3 linked regions of the Macaca fascicularis genome follow. The protein of the gene in region 3 purifies or fractionates together with the protein of the main gene of each other region. This does not show direct contact. Links are inferred from orthologs where the notes say so. Each region holds a gene or a part of one and is shown on either strand. Other genes may lie near its edges.

The links. The genes of interacting proteins can lie anywhere in the genome.
Region 1: the proteins of RELA (region 3) and SP1 purify together in Homo sapiens (affinity purification with western blotting; 7 studies listed by BioGRID and IntAct, with this or other methods). This does not show direct contact. The link is inferred for Macaca fascicularis from reciprocal best matches to the Homo sapiens genes RELA and SP1.
Region 2: the proteins of RELA (region 3) and CARM1 purify together in Homo sapiens (affinity purification with western blotting; 4 studies listed by BioGRID and IntAct, with this or other methods). This does not show direct contact. The link is inferred for Macaca fascicularis from reciprocal best matches to the Homo sapiens genes RELA and CARM1.

Annotation. Positions count from the first base shown.
Region 1 is NC_088385.1:60,209,627-60,213,273, reverse strand, and holds part of SP1 (transcription factor Sp1), read right to left. Parts: intron 3,129-3,647; coding exon 2,960-3,128; intron 1,327-2,959; coding exon 1,127-1,326; intron 72-1,126; coding exon 1-71. UniProt on the Homo sapiens protein: Transcription factor that can activate or repress transcription in response to physiological and pathological stimuli.
Region 2 is NC_088393.1:11,477,179-11,480,825, reverse strand, and holds part of CARM1 (histone-arginine methyltransferase CARM1), read right to left. Parts: intron 3,373-3,647; coding exon 3,268-3,372; intron 867-3,267; coding exon 756-866; intron 1-755. UniProt on the Homo sapiens protein: Methylates (mono- and asymmetric dimethylation) the guanidino nitrogens of arginyl residues in several proteins involved in DNA packaging, transcription regulation, pre-mRNA splicing, and mRNA stability.
Region 3 is NC_088388.1:8,712,920-8,716,566, reverse strand, and holds the end of RELA (transcription factor p65), read right to left. Parts: intron 3,207-3,647; coding exon 3,126-3,206; intron 3,034-3,125; coding exon 2,962-3,033; intron 1,973-2,961; coding exon 1,368-1,972; 3' UTR 590-1,367; downstream 1-589. UniProt on the Homo sapiens protein: NF-kappa-B is a pleiotropic transcription factor present in almost all cell types and is the endpoint of a series of signal transduction events that are initiated by a vast array of stimuli related to many biological processes such as inflammation, immunity, differentiation, cell growth, tumorigenesis and apoptosis.

The DNA of each region.
Region 1 (3,647 bases), on a different chromosome or scaffold from region 3:
GATATGTTTTGACAGGTGGTCACTCCTCATGAAGCGCTTAGGACACTCAGGGCAGGCAAATTTCTTCTCACCTAGGTAAAGGAAGGAAAGATAAGAAGCTGACATGTTAGGAAGTGAGGTTATCTTACCCAGTTCAGTAATTACTCTACTAAGCTGAGTAAGACCAGTATGAGAAGATGATTAAAAACAAGAAAAATCTTCAAGTATCTTTTCCTTTGGTGGGGGCGTGGGGAAGAAAAGTAGATAAAGGTTGGGGAGTACTCAGTAAGGAGGGTAGAACTTAGCAGAAAAGTAAGGCAGGGCAGAGACTAAGAGTAATGGTTTCAACGCTTTGCCTTCAAAACATCCCACTCAAAATCTAGTTCCTTCCTTTTTTTTTTTTTTGAGACAGTCTTGCTCTGTCGCCTAGGCTGGAGTGCAGTGGCACAATCTCAGCTCACTGTAACCTCCACCTCCTGGGTTCAAGCAATTCTCCTCCCTCAGCCTCCCGAGTAGCTGTGATTACGGGTGTGCGCCAGCACGCTTGACTTTTGTAATTTTAGTAGAGACAAGGTTTCCCCATATTGGTCAGGCTGGTCTCAAACTCCTGACCTCAAGAAATCCAACCACCTCGGCCTCCCAAAGTGCTGGGATTACAGGCGTGAGCCACCGCACCCAACTCCTTCCTTTTTTTTTTTTTTTGAGACGGAGTCTCACTCTGTCGCCCAGGCTGGAGTGCAGTGGCACAATCTTGGCTCACTGCAAGCTCCGCCTCCCAGGTTCCTGCCATTCTCCTGCCTCAGCCTCCCGAGTAGCTGGGACTACAGGAGCCTGCCACCATGCCCGGCTAATTTTTTTGTATTTTTAGAGATGGGGTTTCACCGTGTTAGCCAGGATGGTCTTGATCTCCTGACCTCATGATCCGCCCACCTTGGGCTCCCAAAGTGCTGGGATTACAGGTGTGAGCCACTGTGCGCAGCTCCTCCTTCCTTCTTAAAAGGTTTCCAGATTAACTCCAATTCCATTTGTGACCCATATATTTAGTTTCAAATTAAGTTGTTCAGAAATTTTAGTTATTTTGTAGGTATATTTTGTGTTTTTCATTCTAGGCTATTACTCTATTTTTCTCCCATAGGCTCTTGCTCACCTGTGTGTGTACGTTTGTGCCTCTGTAGCTCATCTGAACGTGTGAAGCGTTTCCCACAGTATGACCAGGTACACATAAATGGCCTCTCGCCTGTATGCCAGCGCAAGTGTGCCCGCAGGTGTGAAGTCTTGCCATACACTTTCCCACAGCCTTGGATGTGGCAAATATGTTGTTTCTTTTTGCCAGGATCCCCCGAGCCCCTGAAAGTGAGGATACAACTATTTATCATTCATTCTAGAGACAGAAACTAAAGAACCACAAAGTATCAACAACAGTCACCCAACCTACACCAAACTAACCCAAACTTTTATTTTTTGAAAAAGCCTTCTTTTTTGTTTTGTTTTTTTGAGACAGAGTCTCACTCTGTCGTCCAGGCTGGAGTACAACGGCATGATCACGGCTCACACCTCCTAGGTTCAAATGATTCTCCTGCCTCAGCCTCCCGAGTAGCTAGGATGCACGCCACTATGTCCAGTGCACCAACAGGTGCACGCCACCATGTCCAGTTGAATTGTGTATTTTTAGTACAGATGAGGTTTCGCCATGTTGGCCAGGCTGGTCTCGAATCCCTAACCTCAGGTGATGGATCTGCCTGCCTCCACCTCCCAAAGTGCTGGGATTACAGGCGTGAGCCACCGCGATGGACCAAGGCTTCCTTTTAAAAAGCCTTCTAGGGGCTGGGCGCGGTGGCTCACGCCTGTAATCCCAGCACTTTGGGAGGCGGAGGCAGGCGGATCACAGGGTCAGGAGATTGAAACCATCCTGGCTAACACGGTGAAACCCTGTCTCTACTAAAAATACAAAAAAAATTAGCCAGGCGTGGTGGCGGGCACCTGTAGTCCCTGCTACTCGGGAGGCTGAGACAGGAGAATGGCGTGAACCTGGGAGGCAGAGCTTGCAGTGAGCCGAGACTGCGCCACTGCATTCCAGCCTGGGCGACAGAGCGAGACTCAGTCTCAAAAAAAATTAAATTAAATTAAATTTTTAAAAAGGCTTCTAGGCTGGGTGCAGTGGCTAACGCCTGTAATCCCAACAATTTGTGGGGCTAAGGCAGGAGGACTGCTTAAGCCCAGGAGTTTGAGACCAGCCTGGGCAACACAGGGAAATCCCATCTCTATAAAAAATTTAAAAGTTAAGCTGGGCACAGTGGCTCACAACTGTAATCTCAGCACTTTGGGAGGCCAAGGAGGGTGCATCACAAGGTCAAGAGATTGAGACCACCCTGGCCAACGTGGTGAAACCCCATTTCTACTAAAAACACAAAAATTAGCTGGACATGGTGGTGCATGCCTGTAGTCCTAGCTACTCAGGAGGCTGAGGCAGAAGAATCACTTGAACCCGGGAGGCAGAGGTTGCAGTGAACCAAGATCGCACACCACTGCACTCCAGCCTGGCCACAGAGCAAGACTCTGTCTCAAAAAAAAAAAAACAAAAAAACAAAAAACAAACAAACAAAAAAACCCAAGGCCAGGCACGGTGGGTCATGCTTGTAATCCCAGCACTTTGGGAGCCCAAGGTGGGCAGATCACCTGAGGTCAGGAGTTCACTGACCAACCTGGTGAAACCCCATCTCTACTAAAAATACAAAATTAGCCAGGTGTGGATTACATGCTTGTAATCCCAGTGACTTGGGAGGCTAAAGCAGGGGGAATTGCTTAAACCCGGGAGGCAGAGGTTGCAGTAAGCCGAGATGGCGCCACTGCACTCCAGCCTGGGAGACAGAGTAAGACTCGGTCTCAAAAAAAAAAAAAAAAAAATTAACCTTCTTCCTCTTTCCTCCAAATCCTATTATTTTTTCTTCATATTTGTAAGAAACTTGCTGGGTCAACTCACCTTCCTTCACTGTCTTTACAGTAGGGGCAGGTGCATGCTTCCCGCCGGGTCCTCCGACCGGCTTGGGGTTGGGCATCTGGGCTGTTTTCTCCTTCCTCTCCACCTGCTGTGTCATCATGTATTCCATCACCACCAGCCCCATGGAGACCAAGCTGAGCTCCATGATCACCTATAATTAAGAGAGAAAAGAGTCAACATGTGACACGGGCAGGTTATCACTGGCATCTCAGTGATACCCTACAGTCACGGCATCATTTCTTTTGAACTGACATCCTACGTTCACAGTATCACAAGTTTTGAAGCCTTTTTAAAATGTTCAGCCATTCCATTCACTGACACCTGAAGACTCACTGAAATCTCAAGAATCATCATTGAAAATACAAAGAGTGGGCCGGGCGCGGTGGCTCAAGCCTGTAATCCCAGCACTTTGGGAGGCCGAGACGGGCGGACCACGAGGTCAGGAGATCGAGACCATCCTGGCTGACACGGTGAAACCCCGTCTCTACTAAAAAATACAAAAAACTAGCCGGGCGCAGTGGCGGGTGCCTGTAGTCCCAGCTACTCGGGAGGCTGAGGCAGGAGAATGGTGTAAACCCGGGAGGCGGAGCTTGCAGTGAGCTGAGATCCGGCCACTGCACTCCAGCCTGGGTGACAGAGCGAGACTCCGTCTCAAAAAAAAAAAAAAAAA
Region 2 (3,647 bases), on a different chromosome or scaffold from region 3:
ACAGGCACCCACCGCCATGCCCGGCTAATTCTTTGTATTTTTAGTAGAGACGGGGTTTCGCCATGTTGGTCAGGCTGGTCTCAAACTCCTGACCTCAGATGATCCGCCCGCCTAAGCCTCCCAAAGTGGTAGGATTAGAGGACAGCAGCGTCGGCCATGTGAAGACCTGGAAGGAGTCTGAATGTCACTACGGACACAATGCAGCTAAAGCAACAGCGGCACGGCTGGGCATGGGGGTGCTCTGCGGCTGCAAGACAGAGCAAGGATGGCCCCTCCATGACCCAGGTGACCCCAGATCCATGGGAGAGGTAGAGCAGGGACAGGAAGGTGCAGCCTCTGCTGGTGTGAGAGGACGCTCACGTCTACAGCCACGGAACAGCTTTGCTCAGACTTTATGGCCGTAGCTCCTCTCTCGTGATGGGGCTAGGGGGTGGGAGCAGGGGTCGGTGAGGACAGCACGCTGTTTGCTCTTTTTTAGCTTTTACATTTTGAACTTTGTGAATGAAGGTTTCAGTGCAAAAAAAAAAAAAAGAAAACAGGGAAATGACCTGTGCCCCTGACTGCCGGTCATGAGGGGAAATCATCCCAGGCCCTGAAGCCCCTCCCTGCAATGACTGTTTTGGGGACAACAAAGAGATCAAAGCACAGAAGTAACGTCCCCAGCCTCCTGGGGGTTCCCAGGCTTCTCTAGGCTGGGGCCAGAATGGCACTCATGGGTGAGGATGAGGCTGGGTGGGCACCAGCGGGCCACTGACCTCGGCGTGCTGGGCCATGGTGCTGGCCTCCACCGCGTAGATTTTCCGTGCTCCAGCTTGGGCGGCAAAAAACGACAGGATCCCGGAGCCACAGCCAACGTCAAGAACGATCTAAGGGAGGAGTGGGAGGTGAGAGCGAGACACAGGAGGTGATGGTGATCGGGAGGTGACAGTGATCATAAGGGATGTGCAAGTTATGAGGCGTCAACACCTGGGTCGGTCTTCACTCTCAGTGTTTGCCCTTTATGGACTGTTGGTCAAAATGAAGCGAGAACTCAAGATGAGCCATGGGCCAGTCCTCTGGGAGAAGCCCTGGGGAAGCTCCCGCTCGGCCCCAACCCGGGGCCTGCAGGCCTCCGGATCGTCTGGGGCGAGAGGCATGGGCCTCCCCTGGAAGCTCACTGCCAGTTGAAGAGCATTTTTCCAGGGCCTGCATCTGCAGTTTTAGCATGGAGGAAAGGGCCCGAGGCGTCGGCGGCAGCGTCTCCCAGTTCCATGCTGACTCGTGGTGCCTGGAGAAGCAGCCTGTCTTGGCCGGGGTAGGTGAGCCGCCCAAGCCCCAGGGCCAGCTGGGTTCCCCGCAGGGCTACTGGCCCCTGTTATGGTCACTCATGGCAGAGTCCAGGCCAGGGTCTGGGAGAACACACCACCTGTTCTGGATTTGTGGGATTGCTTCCACACGAGCAGACCAAGGGCAGACATTCCTGGTGGTGACAGGCATGAGCTTTTGAAGGACAAATGTTCTGGGCACGGTGAGTGCCTGTAAGGGAAGCTGGTGTCAGGTGGGAAGGCCTCAGGGTACCGCTCAGAGCTCCAGATGAATCAGAAAATGAATCTCCATCCTCAGGGAGCGGGAAGGGACTTCACCAATAGAGGATGCCCTTCCCAGACCTCAGCGGCCAGGAGGAGGCTCGGGATGACCCAGCCGGGGCCGACACTCCTTCTGTGTCAGGACAACCCCTCCCTGGGGCCCAGGGCCTGCCATCCTCTGGGATGGTAAGCGATGCTAGGGGGGCATGACCCAGATGCTAGATGAGGAAGATCCACGTGGAGAGATCCCCAAAATACTCGGAGGAAAAAAACAGGCTCCCATTTGATTCAAAAGAGAAAACAGGCTGGATGCGGCGGCTCACGCCCGTAATCTCAGCACTTTGGGAGGCTGAGGTGGACGAACTGCTTGAGGCCAGAAGTTTGAGACAAGCCTGGGCAACATGGCAGAACCCCATCTCAACTAAAAATACAAAAATCAGCCAGGCATGGTGGCATATGACTGTAATCCCAGCTACTTGGGTGGCTGAGGCACAAGAACTGCTTGAACCCAGGAGGTGGAGGCTGCAGTGAGCTGAATTGTGCCACTGCACTACAGCCTGGGGGACAGAGTGATAATCTGTCTCAAAAAAACCCCAAAAAACAGAAAGAGAAAACGAAAACTGAGTAAGCCGGGTGCGGTGGCTCATGCCTGTAATCCAAGCATTTTGGGAGGATGAGGTGGGCGGATCACGAGGTCAAGAGATCGAGACCATCCTGGCCACCATGGTGAAACCCCGTCTCTACCAAAAACTCAAAAATTAGCTGGGCGTGGTGGTAGGCGCCTGTAGTCCCAGCTACTCAGGTGGCTGAGGCAGGAGAATCGCTTGAACCTGGGAGGCAGAGATTGCAGTGAGCCAAAATTATACCACTGCACTCCAGCCTGGGCAACAGAGCAAGACTCCATCTCAAAAAAAAAATAGACACTAAAAACTCTGGTAAATGGGATGAGAAGGGATTACGTTTCTACCTCAAGTGATCCATCTGCCTCAGCCTCCCAAAGTGCTGGGATTACAGGCATGAACCACCGTGCCTGGCCGATTTCTACTTTTGAATACAGACGCTCTGCTCTGCTCTCTCTCTTTAATCATGAGTGCACGTTATTTGGTGATATTAAAAAGCTTATTTATTAATTTTGTTCTTGAGGCAGGGTCTCATGCTGGGGCTTAGCCTGGAGAGCAGTGCCCCAATCACAGCTCACTGCAGTTTCAACCTCGCAGGCTCAAATGATCCTCCTGCCTTGGCCTCCCAAAATGCTAGGATCACAGACAGGTGTGAGCTACTCTGCCTAGCTCAATAAAATAATTGTAAAATATACGCTGATGTCTGCATAGGGAAAAATCTGGAAGAAGAGACCTCATACTGAGGGGCAGCAGCTGTCTCGGAGAGAACTGATAGAGGCCTCTTAAGTCTATAATGTACATGCTGTGTTGAGTTTATATATTAAATGCATTTGTTTTTCTTTTTTGTTTTTTTTTAAGAGACAAGAGTCTCGCTCTGTGGCCCAGGCTGGAGCGCAGTGGTGCAATCATAGCTTACTGAAGCCTCAAACTCCTGGGCTGAAGCGATCCTCCTGCCTCAGCCTCCACAGTAGCTGGGATAAATGCATTTCTAATCTGAGATTTTTGAAGATAAAATCAATGAGCAAAGAAAAAAAAAAAAAAAGGCAGAAGCAGAGAGGTGGGCACGTGCACGGGCCGCTCACCTTGTCCTTGAAGTCAGTGTGGTTTTGCAGGATGGCGCGCTGGTAGGTGCCTGTCCGCACGTAGTCCTGCATCATGTTCTGCTGCTGGGACAGGTAGCCATAAAACTGGAACAGAGACACACCAATGGCACGGGGCACATGGTGGCACGAGGCAGTCAAGGCCCTGGCCAGCCCTGTGATAGAGGAAGGGGCCATCTTAGGCACGAACCTCCCTCAGGAGGCCATGCACCCTCTGCCTGGGCCCCACTAGCAGCTCCAGGAGAGGGAGCAGGAGGCCGGAGGGCAGCCCCCAGGAGGACACCACCACTATCACTGCAGCCGACGGCAACAGCTGGATGCTGCCTGGACCTGGAAGCCACCCAGGGGAACTCAATATTTGC
Region 3 (3,647 bases):
CTCTGAGCTTGCGCTGGGGCAAAGCGGAAGTACGTCCAGCTGTAGCCCTGTGGGCTGCGGCTGGGCCTTTGTTTTGGCTTCCTGAGGCTGTGGATTGAAGCTTTCACCGTTCCTCCCAGAACAGAGTATCAAAGCATCGGTGGGGCAGGGTAGATCTTCACCTGGCACTACACATCCCCAAGAGAGAAGCACACACTCCCTGGGCCACCCAAGGAATTAAGTCCAAATTTCCTGGCCCCATCAAATCTTTCGAACATCGTTTCTCTTACCTCTGACGCTGGCTAGTCCCTCTGCGAGATCCACTCTCAGCTGATCTAAGACCTGGAGCAAATGGGGCCTCCGGGAAGACTCCTGAAATTGCTCAATCCCCAGTCAGTGGGCCCTACTAGGCTCTCGGTGTGTTAGGACTCCTGCCTTAGTTGCCCGTTTTCATCCACTGGACAGTAACTCGGGGTTTCCAAGGGCATTCTCAGACTGCAGGCTCTCAGAGGACAGTGCACGCATTCACCCAGCTCTCTACCACCAATGTCCGGCCTGATGTGACTAGCAAAGTGTGTGCTCAGTGTCTGCTGAAAAAAAGCGAATCTAGCCAGCTTGGCAACAGATTTATTAATTCAAGAGTAGAAAGAGCAAGAGTCCAAGTGCTTTGATTCTTCGGTGAAAACTATGCCTCCTGACTGGAGAGCTGCCAGCCTGCTCTCCCCGACTCTCTTTAACAACTTGCCCTCAATTAAGGCACTTGAGAAGAGGGAGAGCAGGGAAGTCCCAGACCAAACCCCCTCTGGATCCTTGAGAGAGCCAGCGTTGTTCCACTGGTTTCCTTCAGCCACAGCTGAGCAAGGAAAGAGCCGGCAGAGACCTCTGTGGGGCACGAAGGCCAGCCCCTCAAATGCTGGTGTTAGGCACAGCGACAATGCCAATGCCATAGAGGGGCTGGTACCTGGGGCGTTATTTCAAGGTGTAATGAATCCATGATGGAAGACACTTGATAATAAGGCTGTGTGGGCTCAAAGGCCTTACCTCTAGCCTGCTTCTCTCTCTAGGAGAGTACTAGAAGCTGCAGGATGTGGATGGGGGACCCCATAGTTCCATACAGAGAAGGGAGCTGACCATCAGGACAGGGGAAGAGTTTGAGTTTCCCCAGCTTCCCCCTTTCCAGAGAAGTTAATGCTTCTGCTTAAGCACCTCCAAAAAGAGAGATAGATACAGGTACTGCCAATAAAAGAATAAAATATGCCTTCCCCCTCCAAGGAAGACATCACCAAAGTTGGGGGCAGCTGGAACACACCCCACCAGAATCCGTAAGTGCTCTGGGAGGGCTTCAATCCCCTGCAAGCCAGTGCTCTGGGGAGGGGAGGCATCACCCCTTAGGAGCTGATCTGACTCAGCAGGGCTGAGAAGTCCATGTCCGCAATGGAGGAGAAGTCTTCATCTCCTGAAAGGAGGCCGTTGGGGAGCCCCGGGGCCCCCAGTGGAGCAGGAGCTGGGTCAGGGGGCCTCTGGGCCCCTGTCACTAGGCGAGTTATAGCCTCAGGGTACTCCATCAGCATGGGCTCAGTTGTGTGGGGGGCCACAGGTACGCCCTGGTTCAGCAGCTGCTGAAACTCGGAGTTGTCGACTGATGCCAGGTCTGTGAACACGGTTGGGTCTGTGCTGTTGCCAAGCAAGGCCCCCAGGTCTTCATCATCAAACTGCAGCTGCAGCAAGGCCTCTGACAGCGTTCCTTCCCCAGCCTGGGTGGGCTTGGGGGCAGGTGGGGCCACAGCCTGAGGAGGGCCTGGGGCTAGGACTGGGGCCTGGGCCAGAGGTGATACCATGGCTGGAGCAGGGGCAGGGGCTGGAGCCTGGGGCAGGACTTGGGGAGGGGCCAAGGCTGAGGCCTGGCTTATCTGCCCAGAAGGAAACACCATGGTGGGAAACTCATCATAGTTGATGGTGCTCAGGGATGACGTAAAGGGATAGGGCTGGGGTGCTGGAGGAGAGAGACAGAGAGGCAGGGGTCAGAGAAAGCCCTAGAGATCCACTCCGTCCTCTTACCCCAGCCCCTCTTGATGGCGCCTAGGCTCAATCCCTCTCTAGGAAGTCACTGCCAACACCCTATCTCCTTCCTCTTACCCCATCTGACCCAGCCTGTAGGGTCCAGTTCTAGCCACACCTCCACGTTGGAGTCCTCCCTGACTACTCAAGCCCACAAAACTCTCCCAGCCTTTTAAAGGAAGGGACACTTTGAGAGACAAGCTGGACTCCTCGGTTTACAGCTGAAAAACTAAGTCCTGAGAGGCAATGAGCCCATGGAGCATCAAGTGAGCAGCGGCCTCAAGTGGACAGCTTGTCAGTTTTTGAGCCTCGCACTGGCACATACGTCTTGCTAATTCAGAAGTGATTTTTGTTCCCCCTAATTCAAGTGAGAGATGAAAGCAGAGATTCTGCATTTTTTTTTTTTTGAGACGGAGTCTCGCTCTGTCGCCCAGGCTAGAGTGCAGTGGCGTGATCTCAGCTCACTGCAAGCTCCGCCTCCCAGGTTCATGCCATTCTCCTGCCTCAGCCTCCCGAGTAGCTGGGACTACAGGCGCCCGCCACCTCGCCCGGCTAATGTTTTGTATTTTTAAGAGAGACAGCGTTTCACCGTGTTAGCCAGGATGGTCTCGATCTCCTGACCTCGTCATCTGCCCGTCTCGGCCTCCCAAAGTGCTGGGATTACAGGCATGAGCCACCGCGCCCGGCCGATTCTGCATTTTTAACTTCTGAATCCCAAGATACCCAGTACAGGATTTAACTGGCACAGTGGTTCCCAGGCTTCAGCATGCATTAGCGTCCCAGAAGTTGCTGGTTCCTGCGCCATCCTTTCAAAGCCTCTGATTCAGTAGGTCTGTAATGGGGCCCAAGAGTCTGCATCTCCACTGCTCCTCAGCTGAACAGAGCTGAACCTGTCGTTCCAGTAGGACAAAAGGAAATCCTTACCTGGCTTGGGAACAACTGAGCTGCGGGAAGGCACAGCAATGCGCCGAGGTGGAGGCCGGGGGTCAGTGGGTCCTGCAGGGCAAGGGCTGGGTCAGTTCTCAGCCCCAGGGTGTCCCCTCCCTCCCCGCTGCCTTTCTCTCTGTCCTTCCCGGTCCCCATCTCACCGCTGAAAGGACTCTTCTTCATGATGCTCTTGAAGGTCTCATATGTCCTTTTGCGTTTCTCCTCAATCCGGTGACGATCGTCTGGGAAAGTAAGGGGGAGAAGTGGGACTTGCTCTCCTCAGGTGGGCCCCCAACGCTCTCAAAGGACCCTCAGGAGGAAACCGAGGAGCCAGGCTTTCCCAAGACCCGTTCTCCCAACCTCCTCTGCCAGTGAGAAGGGATGTGTGACATCCAGCAGTTCTGAGAATCCCACAGCTTTTGGAGGCCTCTGTTGGCTGAATCTGCCCCTCTACGGCCACATGGCGAGGCCGAGTACAGGGGCCGTGCTCTGGGGAAAGAGGAGCCCTGGGGGGCCCCAGCCTCCAGCTCATGCCTTCCTGCACTGCTCACGTCCTGGCTCACTGTCAGCCTCCACCCAGGGCGGTGAGAATTTCTTGCCACTCTGGGGCAGCTGGGGCACAACTGCCTTAACACTTCAGCAGACTCTTATTCTTATCTGTAATGGTTTCGTATTTTAGTCGG